Kluyveromyces lactis: one gene and its partner. The protein of the gene in region 1 purifies or fractionates together with the protein of each later gene. This does not show direct contact. Links are inferred from orthologs where the notes say so. Each region holds a gene or a part of one and is shown on either strand. Other genes may lie near its edges.

Region 1 (5,772 bases):
AAAGAATCATCGCCTACATGTTAGAGAAGTACCCCAACAGAAAGCACGATGGCAAAATGATGCCCAGAGTAGGCCTAGCCGAAGATGTTTACTTGAAACCGAGCAATATATTAGAAATATCCACTGTTAATGGATCGACAAATGATCAGCTACCTGATTCTAAGATTCAATTTGTTGGAGATGAGACAATAAGACATGGAACCGTTAAGAAAAACAACCAAATAACTGCTAAAGATCATTTTCAGGACGTTCGACAATTTGTGTTTGAAACCGAGGATCATGAAGCCTATCATCCAGGCGATACAGTTTCTTTATATCCCGAAAATTCAGACAATGACGTTGAATTATTCCTCGAAGCTCAACCTCATTGGAAGAAGGTCGCTGATGAACTTCTTACAATAACAGACCTGGAAAATTGTGATCGGTTCAGAGATGGTGGTGTTGTGAAACCACTTACTCTAAGAACCTTGTTAAAATATCATTTTGATATCGTCAGTATACCTAGGCAGAGCTTCTTCATGAAAACTTGGACTTTTGCAAATGCTCACGAAGATAGACCAACCGATCAAGAGCTATTAGAACAACAGAGGGATAAACTAAGACAGTTCGGGTATGGACAAGACCTACAGGACTTGTATGATTATTGCAATAGACCAAGAAGATCAGTATTAGAGGTTATACAGGATTTTGAATTCTTAAAACTTCCATGGGAGTTCGCATTAGATTATCTACCCATGATAAAGCCCAGATTTTATTCCATCTCAAGTGCACCATCTGATCCTAATGTTGAACTAACTATTGCTATTGTTCGTTATAAGACTTTGTTAAGAAAGGTACGGAAAGGACTATGCACGAACTACCTACTTACATTAACCGAAAACGATACAGTTCGTTATAAACTTCAAAATAATCATTTACTTCATGAAGATATTATTGGCAAACCTATCATCATGACTTCTCCGGGGGTAGGTCTCGCACCAATGAAGTGCTTGATCGAGTCTAATTTATTCAAGGATCAGTACTTATTTTTTGGTAACAGAATGAAGGATAAGGACTTTTTATATGAAGATACGTTATCTATGTGGAAGAAAGAAGGTAAAATTAATTTATTCACTTGTTTTTCGCGGGATCCCATAAATTCTCCTCATGCTAAGTATGTTCAAGATCAGTTGTGGAATCAATCTAGTCTAATAGCAGACCTAATTTTGAAAAAATCTGCCATAGTATATATTTGTGGATCCTCCGGTAAAATGCCAGTTCAGGTTAGGTTGACTATAGTTGAGATCCTGAAAAAACATGGAAACTTCGAAAACGCAGAAGAAGCCGAGCATTATCTAAAAGAAATGGAAAGAACTGACAGGTATATGCAAGAGACATGGTAGTTCAGTCAAGATTGAAAAAAGCGTCAACTTCATACCACACGGTATTTCTTGGAAACTTAAAGGGGTTCTTTGAATCATCTCCAACCACATGCTTTTCCAAGGCCGAGATTCTACCCATTGCCCATTCCCTATCTTTCAATAATTCGTAATTAGACGTTGAGTTTCTAAGAACGTATTTGATATCAGTATTTGTCGCAGTGAAAATTGCCCATACAACATGCTTCTTGGCCGAATCTTGGGTGTTAACATTGAATGTATCCGGTCTGCCATTAGCGTTGAGTGCAGGATTCCTGTTCGCTTTACTTAATGGAATATTTTCTGTGATAGAAGCAGAGCTTCCGTTAAGAATGCTAGCTGCAATATCAGACTTGACAACATTTGGACGTTGCATAACAGACTGTGTAGATGAGTTTAAATCAATGGATGAAAATGAAGAATTTAGCGACGATATTGAAGAATTTAATAGCAATTCCTGATCGTTGATTGGTAAAAAAAGAGCAAGATCTCCCGGTTGGAAGTTATATATTGTAATTTTGTCTCTAGCACTTTTCTGCAAAAGGAGTTTTTTATTCTTGTTCTCTTTCCTAAGCTTTTTCGCCAAACTTTCGATATCATTGAACCTGCGGATCACTGACGTTTCGAACAATTGGTTACCAAATAGTTTTTCTATGTAGGTAATGAAATTTTCATGAGGTTTGTAGTCAATCTGATCCTTTATAGATTCGAAAGTACTCTTTATTTCTTGTGCAATTACACTTTTTGCCATGGAACTATTCATATCAGCCAAACTTGAATCCAGATCTTTTCTTAAACCTTTGACGCGAACAATTTGAAAGTTTCCATCTTGATCTTTGGAAAGTAACAACCCGATACTCGCCAAAATGAAAATACTACCTTGGAAAACATCATATAAAGTTTTTTCCAATTGCTTATTAAAGTTGATAAACTCTGCATCAATTGTTTTGCTTTTTGATATTTGCAATTGGTTAAGATCTTTTTTAAGACTTTCAACTTCTTCTTGCAAGGAAGCCCGTTCCTGTTCTGCTTGAACTTCTTGGGTTGCCATATTGACAAGAAGATCTTCTTTCATTTTGTTTAAATCCTCGGATTTCCGTCGGGATTCTTCAGATTCCCTTACAAGTTCCTCATTTTGCTCAAAGAGGGATCCTAAATGCTTCTTGAAATTCTCCGAACGAGAATTCATTTCAGAATAGAAGTTTTCGCGTTCAATCAACAACGTTGATAATTCTTTGTTTAAATTTGTCATGGATTCTCTGTAAGCATTTTTCTCGACCTCCATATGGGAAAGTTGACTTTTAAGTGTTGAAAGTTCAGTTTCAAGGGTCTTGGTTAATTCAGAGTATTTGCTTATATCCTTTTGCAGGTTTTGAAATTCCTCGAAGGTTTTATTTGATTCGTGTTGTTGTTTGGAACTTGGGAGATCGAATGTTGAACTTTGCTGTAACTTTGTGCTCACGGTACTATTGCGGAACATTTGGACCATTGCAGTTTCCTTATTCAGAATGCCAGCTGGCCATGAGTCGTACTGATGGAACTGTGCATCAAGTAATAAATGTTCTAGCTTTTTGATACGAGCCTTGTATCCTTCAATGATAAGCTCCGAGTCCTTCGAGAGCGCGTAATCTGTAGGTAAATGCAAGCCTGTCAGCTCCGCCTGCGAGACTTTTGACTTAAGTAAATTAATTGTAGGTTCACCTAAGTTCAATGAAGCAAGTTGATTAATATAATCTTTAATCTGAGACAATGTCACCTGTTTATGATCACTTATGGACGGAATGTATACTGATGATGGTAGCAAACTATCAACATCTAGAAATCGAGTTATCCATTGGAAATCTTTGTACCAAGAGTTTCTTTGTCGTACTTCGTCATCCAAAAGATGCTGCAATGAAGATTCATGTTGTTGTCGAAGTTGAGAGTAACGGTCTGTCCAGAGCTGCTCTCTGTATAACTCAATCAAATACAATCCATAACACATAGGCAAATCCAATACTTGAGATAATTTCAGTTCTTCATTCTTCAAAAACTTCATATTGGTCTTAACGTCTTTAGTTAACACCGACTTCACCATTATTACGCTCATCTGCGATTTTGCAACGGAAAGGTACAACTGTTGCAACTTCTGCTGGACAGTAGCTTTTGTATCTAAATTCGTGGAAGCTTTATTGAACATTGCTTGCGAAATTGTTTGTAATTTGGGGACATGTACACTTTTGAATGTTTCAAACTTCTCTTTTGAAGCATCTTTAGAAGCCTCTTCTTTATATTGATTTGATACAAGCTCAATCTCTGTAGCCATTTCTTTAAATCGTTCAACCATTTGGTTGTCCATATCATCAGAACTGACAACTGAATTTTTTTTCACATCATCTAAATCTGAGATTAACTGTGTTCTCTGCTGGTAGCATTCATCAATACTTTTCTTTAACTCCTTTAACTTCGCATTTAGTTCACGATCCAGACGGTGAATGGAATCCTCGATCTCTGTTAGCTCGCTATAATTGAAAAATGATGATAATAACTGATTAGAAACTTTAATATTGCCGAGAATATTATCATAAAAGGAATGCCATTGATTTGAGGCACCATCTTCGTGAAGCTTGTTAAGAAAATCAACGTTGCCATTATACAGCACCTCCACTTCATAGCAGTAGTTTTTCAAATACTCAAGCATAACAGTACCACACTCTAATAACCGTTGAACGTCTTGATAAGTTTCTTTTATAACGTCCTGGAAAAATTCAACGTCTGATTGCAAAGCCTTCAACCACCCTAAATTCCGTAGAATGACATTTTTATCCAACTGTAACGAATCGCTTATCGGCGATGGCAAAGGTTTGAAAAGTTGGAACCTTGGCTTTGGGGAAAACTCGATCTCCTCATTGAATATTCCACGGTCAAATACGTATATTTCTTCCAATCCTTCTTGTTGCAGCTTTCTGGAATCCCATCCTGCTTTCTTCAATATCATTCCATAAGGTAACAATAGAAGTATGTCATCGAGCGGTATCTGGAAAGTATCACTTGCAAACTGTTTCAAATCTAAGAAACTAGGGAAATAAACATTAGATAATTGGTGTGAAACTCCTGATGTAGCACATATCAACTTGCATGGCGGCATTATTAATAAAATTATCAGATTGTAACCTTAAGACTTTGGAAAGAAATAAAGGGACAATGTCGATTTAATGATGATGAAATGGGGGGTGTTAGCTCACAGGATTCTATATCATGAGTATTCTTTAAATGCTGAGATATATCTAATCTGGAGTACTAAAGCCGTAAGCAACAAGTGGAATAAGAGCCGATAAACGTCAGGGGACTGAAAAACTATGTAACAGGTTTTCTCACCTATAAAACTTACCGGGGGGTCCATATAATCTTTTTTCGAATCAGTTTGGTGAAGCAAGAGCACGTGACTGATATGCTTTTATTATAAAAATTTGGTTTTAAACCTCCAGATGATGAGATAAACAGTTTTAAGTAAAGCTTTTTATATTCGCTAGCTTCGGCAGCATCTACTCTCATTGATATAACTAATTAAAAATTAATAAGAAAGTATACTGCAGATAAACTAAGCAAAGGATGGTCGAAATAAGGTACACACGATTCGATATCAGTAATGACATGGAGTTTTCCACCATCAAGAAATTGATCGATGAGGATCTCAGTGAGCCATATTCGATATACGTGTACAGATTTTTCCTAAACCAATGGCCGAACCTAACGTATTTGGCATGGGCAGAAGGATCGGGTAAGCCCATAGGATGTATAGTATGCAAGAGCGATACTCATAATGGAGTGCGGTTAAGAGGATACATTGGCATGTTAGCAGTGGAGAAACAATATAGAGGCCGTGGGATAGCGAAAAAACTAATTACCTTAGCTATAGATACTATGATTGATGAAAAATGTGACGAGATTATGTTGGAGACTGAATGCAGCAATGCAGCTGCTTTGCATTTATACGAGAATATGGGCTTCATCAGAATGAAGAGATTATTCCGGTATTATTTGAACCAGGGAGATGCGTTTAAACTCATTTTACCGATTACAGAGAAAAGTTGTGTGAGAAGCACATTCCTGGGGATGGATTCCTTTCCTACCGACACCATACTCTAAAGTAAATTGAATTGATTTTATATCAGTAATTGTCATTTTAATACACACACAATATATATATATATATAGCATTGCGAAAAGAGATTTCATTCCTCTTCATCGAACTTTGGAGCCAAATAGAATTGCAAATTACCGCTTGAGATATCGAATTGGAAAAGGGCTGGCGCTTCTTCCGATAATTTTATAGTGATTGTATCTGATAGAGAGGACCCCTTAATGATGTCGTTTAAATATTTAGCACCGAACC
Region 2 (4,566 bases), on another chromosome or scaffold:
TCATTCTATTAGAAGCGTTATTATTTTTTTCTATTTTATTGCTCTTGAACTTGTATCCGAATGGTAGTTCTGGTGTTTTCCCCTCCACCATCGAGAATTTACCTTTGAAAGGCTTCATCGCATTGGCTATTCTTTTAAAAGACGGCTTTGGTCTTATATATTTCCATCTGCTTCTTGCATATACACTTCCTGAAGAAGTTAATGTTGCTGTTGTATCGTTACTACGGATGCTTCTTTTAAAGAGGATATGATCACTTGATAGCTTGAACACTCGACCAGCCATTTCCGTTTGTAGCCTTTTACAATCAAGTGGATTGGAGAAAAATGGATCGTTATACTGAACTTCTTCAATTTGGTTAGCAGATAAACTCTCCTTGATGTTAGCGTGTGTTACGCTAGGTCTGATCATCGGGCGAAATGTTGACTTTCTAATAGCAGATGTTTTTCGTTTTGCCAGTTTCCTAGCAATTGCTTCATTAGCAATATCGTCATGACATGAAGATTCCTCCGCACGTTTGGAACTGACATGTGAAGAGTGCGATTCATTGGAGGAAATATTTAGCAAAATGGGAATATTTTTAGTGTTTGTAGACGCTACTTTTTGTTCACGAACAGAAGTATATTGGTTGTTCAATTTGAATTCTACTTCTGACCAACAGAATACTTTACTACTAGCATTCCTTGGTATTTTGGGCCATAATTCTTGAAGGGCGTCTTTGGTACTTGCAAAAAAATTCTCATTAATGAAAGGATCCACAAAGTTGTCAAAATTTAAAGCTTTTTCTTTGTTAAAAAGGGAAGACATTCGTTTCTTAGCTTCATCAAAGTGTTTCACCAACCTTTCATCTTCTTTCCAATTATATTGTAATTGAGATTCTCGAAATATTTCTTTTAATCCTTCATATTCAGCAAGCCCTTTCCTTTTCCTAAGCAGTTGTATCTCTTTCCATATATCTTTTGTAGAATTAACATATCCTTGATCTGATGTTTGAAGGTCTTTCTTAAGCTCAACAAAATCATGGTGTAAATCCCTGAATTGAATTTCTTCTCTGTTTAAAATGAACTGTGGAATAATATCCATTTCAAGAAAGGTCTTTCCAATTCGATGAAATGGATCTATGTCTAAAACATTTTGATTCGGATGCAAGTGTTTTTTCAAAAAACGTTCCAAAGAGTCCGTGTGCAATATTTCATTCATATCTAGATCAGTTAACAGAACAGGTTGCCGAAAATAGCATTTGGATAGTTTTAACCATCCGCAACCAAATAAGTTATAGTCAGCCATCATTTGCAATAAATAAGGTATATGAGCCTCAAAGACATCCACTTTTGAGGTGAATATTCTGCCATCTCTAAGTAATTCAGAGAGTTTATTACTATATGAACCATTCAAAAGAGTAATTTTATAGTAAGGTTCATATCCTACGTGGTATCCGTAAAATGGAACGCCTTTGACAACGGACACATTAGCAATGTATTTCAGGGAAGTTAGCTTCTCTTTAAAATCTGTTTTGGTAAAAGTTTCAATCATCCGTGTCTCAAGTATTTTGTGCAAACTGGTACATCTATTCCGTATTACTGATGCTTTATCATTCGAATGTCCGTCATATTTGATGAATATGTAAGGGAAAATGCCATGGCAATGAATTAGAACTTTGTGTCCGGTAGATAAACATCCATAGAACCTTAGTACTGGCACCTGAACAAATCGAAGTCCAGGAAGGCTCTTACTAGTTTTACAATCCAATAGAGTTGGGAAGCATTGATAGCTGTCTGAATTATTAATCTGTATGTTGATTTCATTGGAGTCTAAGCTGGAGTCTAAAGAACCAAAAATATCACTCATCTGCAAGTAATCATCATATCAGATTACAGTCACCTTAATGTAGCACAGTTATATCTTCTGATGTAAACGATGTGAATGGTATAAAAGTAATATCCTTGATTAATGGGTGATATACTGTGACCAAACTTCAGATGAGAAATAGCGATGAGCAATCCTGCAAAGTTGGGCTAAACTTGATTATAGTTGGGTATATTAGTATTCATGATTACCCGGATATTGTGATCATTCTGATACGTAATGAATAATCATATTTTAGCTAAAGTGATTCTCGTATACTGGAGTTGTCCGAGATGAAAGTGAGATCTAGTTGAACAACATTCACCGCAAGTTCCTAATCGAATTTAATAGCAAATGTTACTTTAAATTGTTCTAATCTAGATTCTGTGGTATAGGAAGAAATTTGGTGATTCTATAAAATCCACAGTGTGAGGTGTATTTACAATGAATAATGACAACACAAAAGTGTACGTAAGAGTGGCAGGTAAACGACCTGAAAATTTTGTCGAAACAAAACCATTTATTTGGGATTCTCGTCGAGATAAGATTCTATGGACCAAAATCTCAAAAATTGACTCGTTAGAGGATATGGATTGGCAGGAATTGGGGGCTGATTTAGGTGCACCAGAACCCTTTCTCAAAAAACGGAGTTATACTTTATTTCAAAATCAACTAAAAGTTTTATCGAACCAAATAGACGTTACATCTAATACCCGGTCCTCATCAGAGTCACGAAATTCCGTTGACAACAACATTCTCCAAAATTTACAGGCATCAAGAATAATGAATCATAAATTGGATAAGACGGACAACTTAGCCAATAATCAAGAGTCTAGTAGTGAACTTTCGAATTTAAGTGTGAGCAAGTCAGCACTTGAGGACGCATTGATGGATTGTTTACAACTCTGAGAGGCATCTACTACATTTGCATTCAAAAAACCAATTATCCTTCAATATTGCCCTTCTCCGGTTGACGTCAAGGTGTAATATACCCTTGTAATCAATACAGAGCTCTTCTCCCTTCTGCACATCAGTTTGTAGAATGTATTGAAAGACTCTTTCGACCCTCTTTTTCTCCACGTTAGGCACACAGGAATGGTTAAAATATGAGGCCTCCGGATGAACCATATAACCCAGATATTCCCTATCATCGTCCGACTCTGAAGTCTCCCAAATGCCAAATGAGTTTCCATATTCAGAACCAAGGATATGTCTAAAAACTGATGTTGTCATGATATACCTATACTGGGGAGCTAGAGTATAAACCCATTTGAAAACTTTGATCTGAAACTCCAGTAGAACAGGGAATCTCATTATTTTCTCCACTTCATTTGACTGAAGTTTTTCCCACGTATTCCACTTCACACTATTTCGATCCAAATGTGTCATGTTAAATAAACATTCTATCACAAACCTGATACAGGAATAATGATCCTCATCTATCACTGGAAGTTGGTTGGTGGCCTTGGCAAGTTTCATTTTGGAAACTCTAGGCATCCAAGTACTTTCTAAGTCCATCCAACAACTCTCAATTTCCTGATGCATCCGCTTATTATCGTAGTCTTTATACAATTCCGTATCTGTTTCCACGCACAGGCTTTTACCCTGTATCGATTGGAAATGCGTTAATATCATTTCATAATTCAAAATAAGATCAACAATATTCGGTCCACTTAGGAAGAAGTTTTTACACTCTTCAGTACAAAACCAAAGCCCGCTACCTTTGTACTTCTTCTCTAGTTTATGGTTTAACAAGTTCAAATCTAATTTCAGTAGGTCTGCCCAGCTGATCCTAACTTTCATTGGTTTACCACCGTCATATTTCAGGCAAAAATGGCACACTTCCTTACGGAACTCGTGAGAAATACTAGATCCGATCCACTGGGACAAATCTAACAGATGGGTGCCTTTTAACATGCTATTTGAAGCAAAACATGCCCGGCCGCCATATGCTGTACGTTTTACTTCAATTTTGTCATTAATATATACTTCCGCATTCATCCGTGTCCTGTATTATATCTAACTCCCTCACAATTGGCATATATCCATGAATTCTAGTTCGTAATATATAATTCAGAGGATTTTAAGTGTAGATACCTCTGACCAGTTAACATCATATTTTGCCAAGCAGCCCATCTCATTGCATCTCATCGCCTGAAATCAACGCTCCAAATTCCTTTTGAAATTATATCTTCAACTAGATCAGTAGATTTTAAGAGTCACGTGAACTGTAAACATCAGTTCGCGTGGTAGTCTTTCCACTATCGTGTCAAAATTAGATCTTTGACCACAGCAAAAGTAAGGATAGGAAAGGGGAAGGAACTCACAGTTACGACGTAGAAGGAAATCAGAATTTTGCACGTTGTAGTCGCATTATTTGGCTTGCTAAATTTGATTGTTATTGCTCTACCCAATTGCGTTTCCCAGATCATTGAATTGTTTTTAAAACATCATGACACTTTACAAATTATTAACACCTAAAGCATTCGCAGAATTATTATCCAAGGAAACTAAGCGCCGTATTATCCCAGTAGATTCCACCTGGTATTTACCAAACTTGAACAGAAGTGGGAAGCAAGAATTTTTAGATGAAGAACGTCTAAAAGGAGCTGTTTATTTTGATATTGATGGTGTCAAAGACATGAAATCTGAATATCCTCATATGTTACCAGATCTCAGTACTTTCAATAAATCCATGAGTGAATTGGGACTGAAGAAGGATG

What was found. The genes of interacting proteins can lie anywhere in the genome.
Region 2: the proteins of ATG11 (region 1) and ATG29 purify together in Saccharomyces cerevisiae (affinity purification with western blotting; 4 studies listed by BioGRID, with this or other methods). This does not show direct contact. The link is inferred for Kluyveromyces lactis from reciprocal best matches to the Saccharomyces cerevisiae genes ATG11 and ATG29.

What each region holds. Positions count from the first base shown.
Region 1 is NC_006038.1:1,057,610-1,063,381, reverse strand, and holds ATG11 (autophagy protein ATG11), read right to left. Parts: upstream 4,525-5,772; coding exon 1,384-4,524; downstream 1-1,383. Other genes in the region: TAH18 (NAPDH-dependent diflavin reductase), read left to right, coding at 1-1,382; peptide alpha-N-acetyltransferase MAK3, read left to right, coding at 4,989-5,525; POL30 (proliferating cell nuclear antigen), read right to left, coding at 5,612-5,772. UniProt on the Saccharomyces cerevisiae protein: Involved in cytoplasm to vacuole transport (Cvt), pexophagy, mitophagy and nucleophagy. Recruits mitochondria for their selective degradation via autophagy (mitophagy) during starvation, through its interaction with ATG32.
Region 2 is NC_006039.1:856,118-860,683, forward strand, and holds ATG29 (Atg29p), read left to right. Parts: upstream 1-2,287; coding exon 2,288-2,752; downstream 2,753-4,566. Other genes in the region: REV3 (DNA-directed DNA polymerase), read right to left, coding at 1-1,846; SET6 (Set6p), read right to left, coding at 2,741-3,844; TUM1 (thiosulfate sulfurtransferase), read left to right, coding at 4,296-4,566. UniProt on the Saccharomyces cerevisiae protein: Plays a role in autophagy. Functions at the preautophagosomal structure (PAS) in order to form normal autophagosomes under starvation conditions. Also plays a role in mitophagy and regulation of filamentous growth.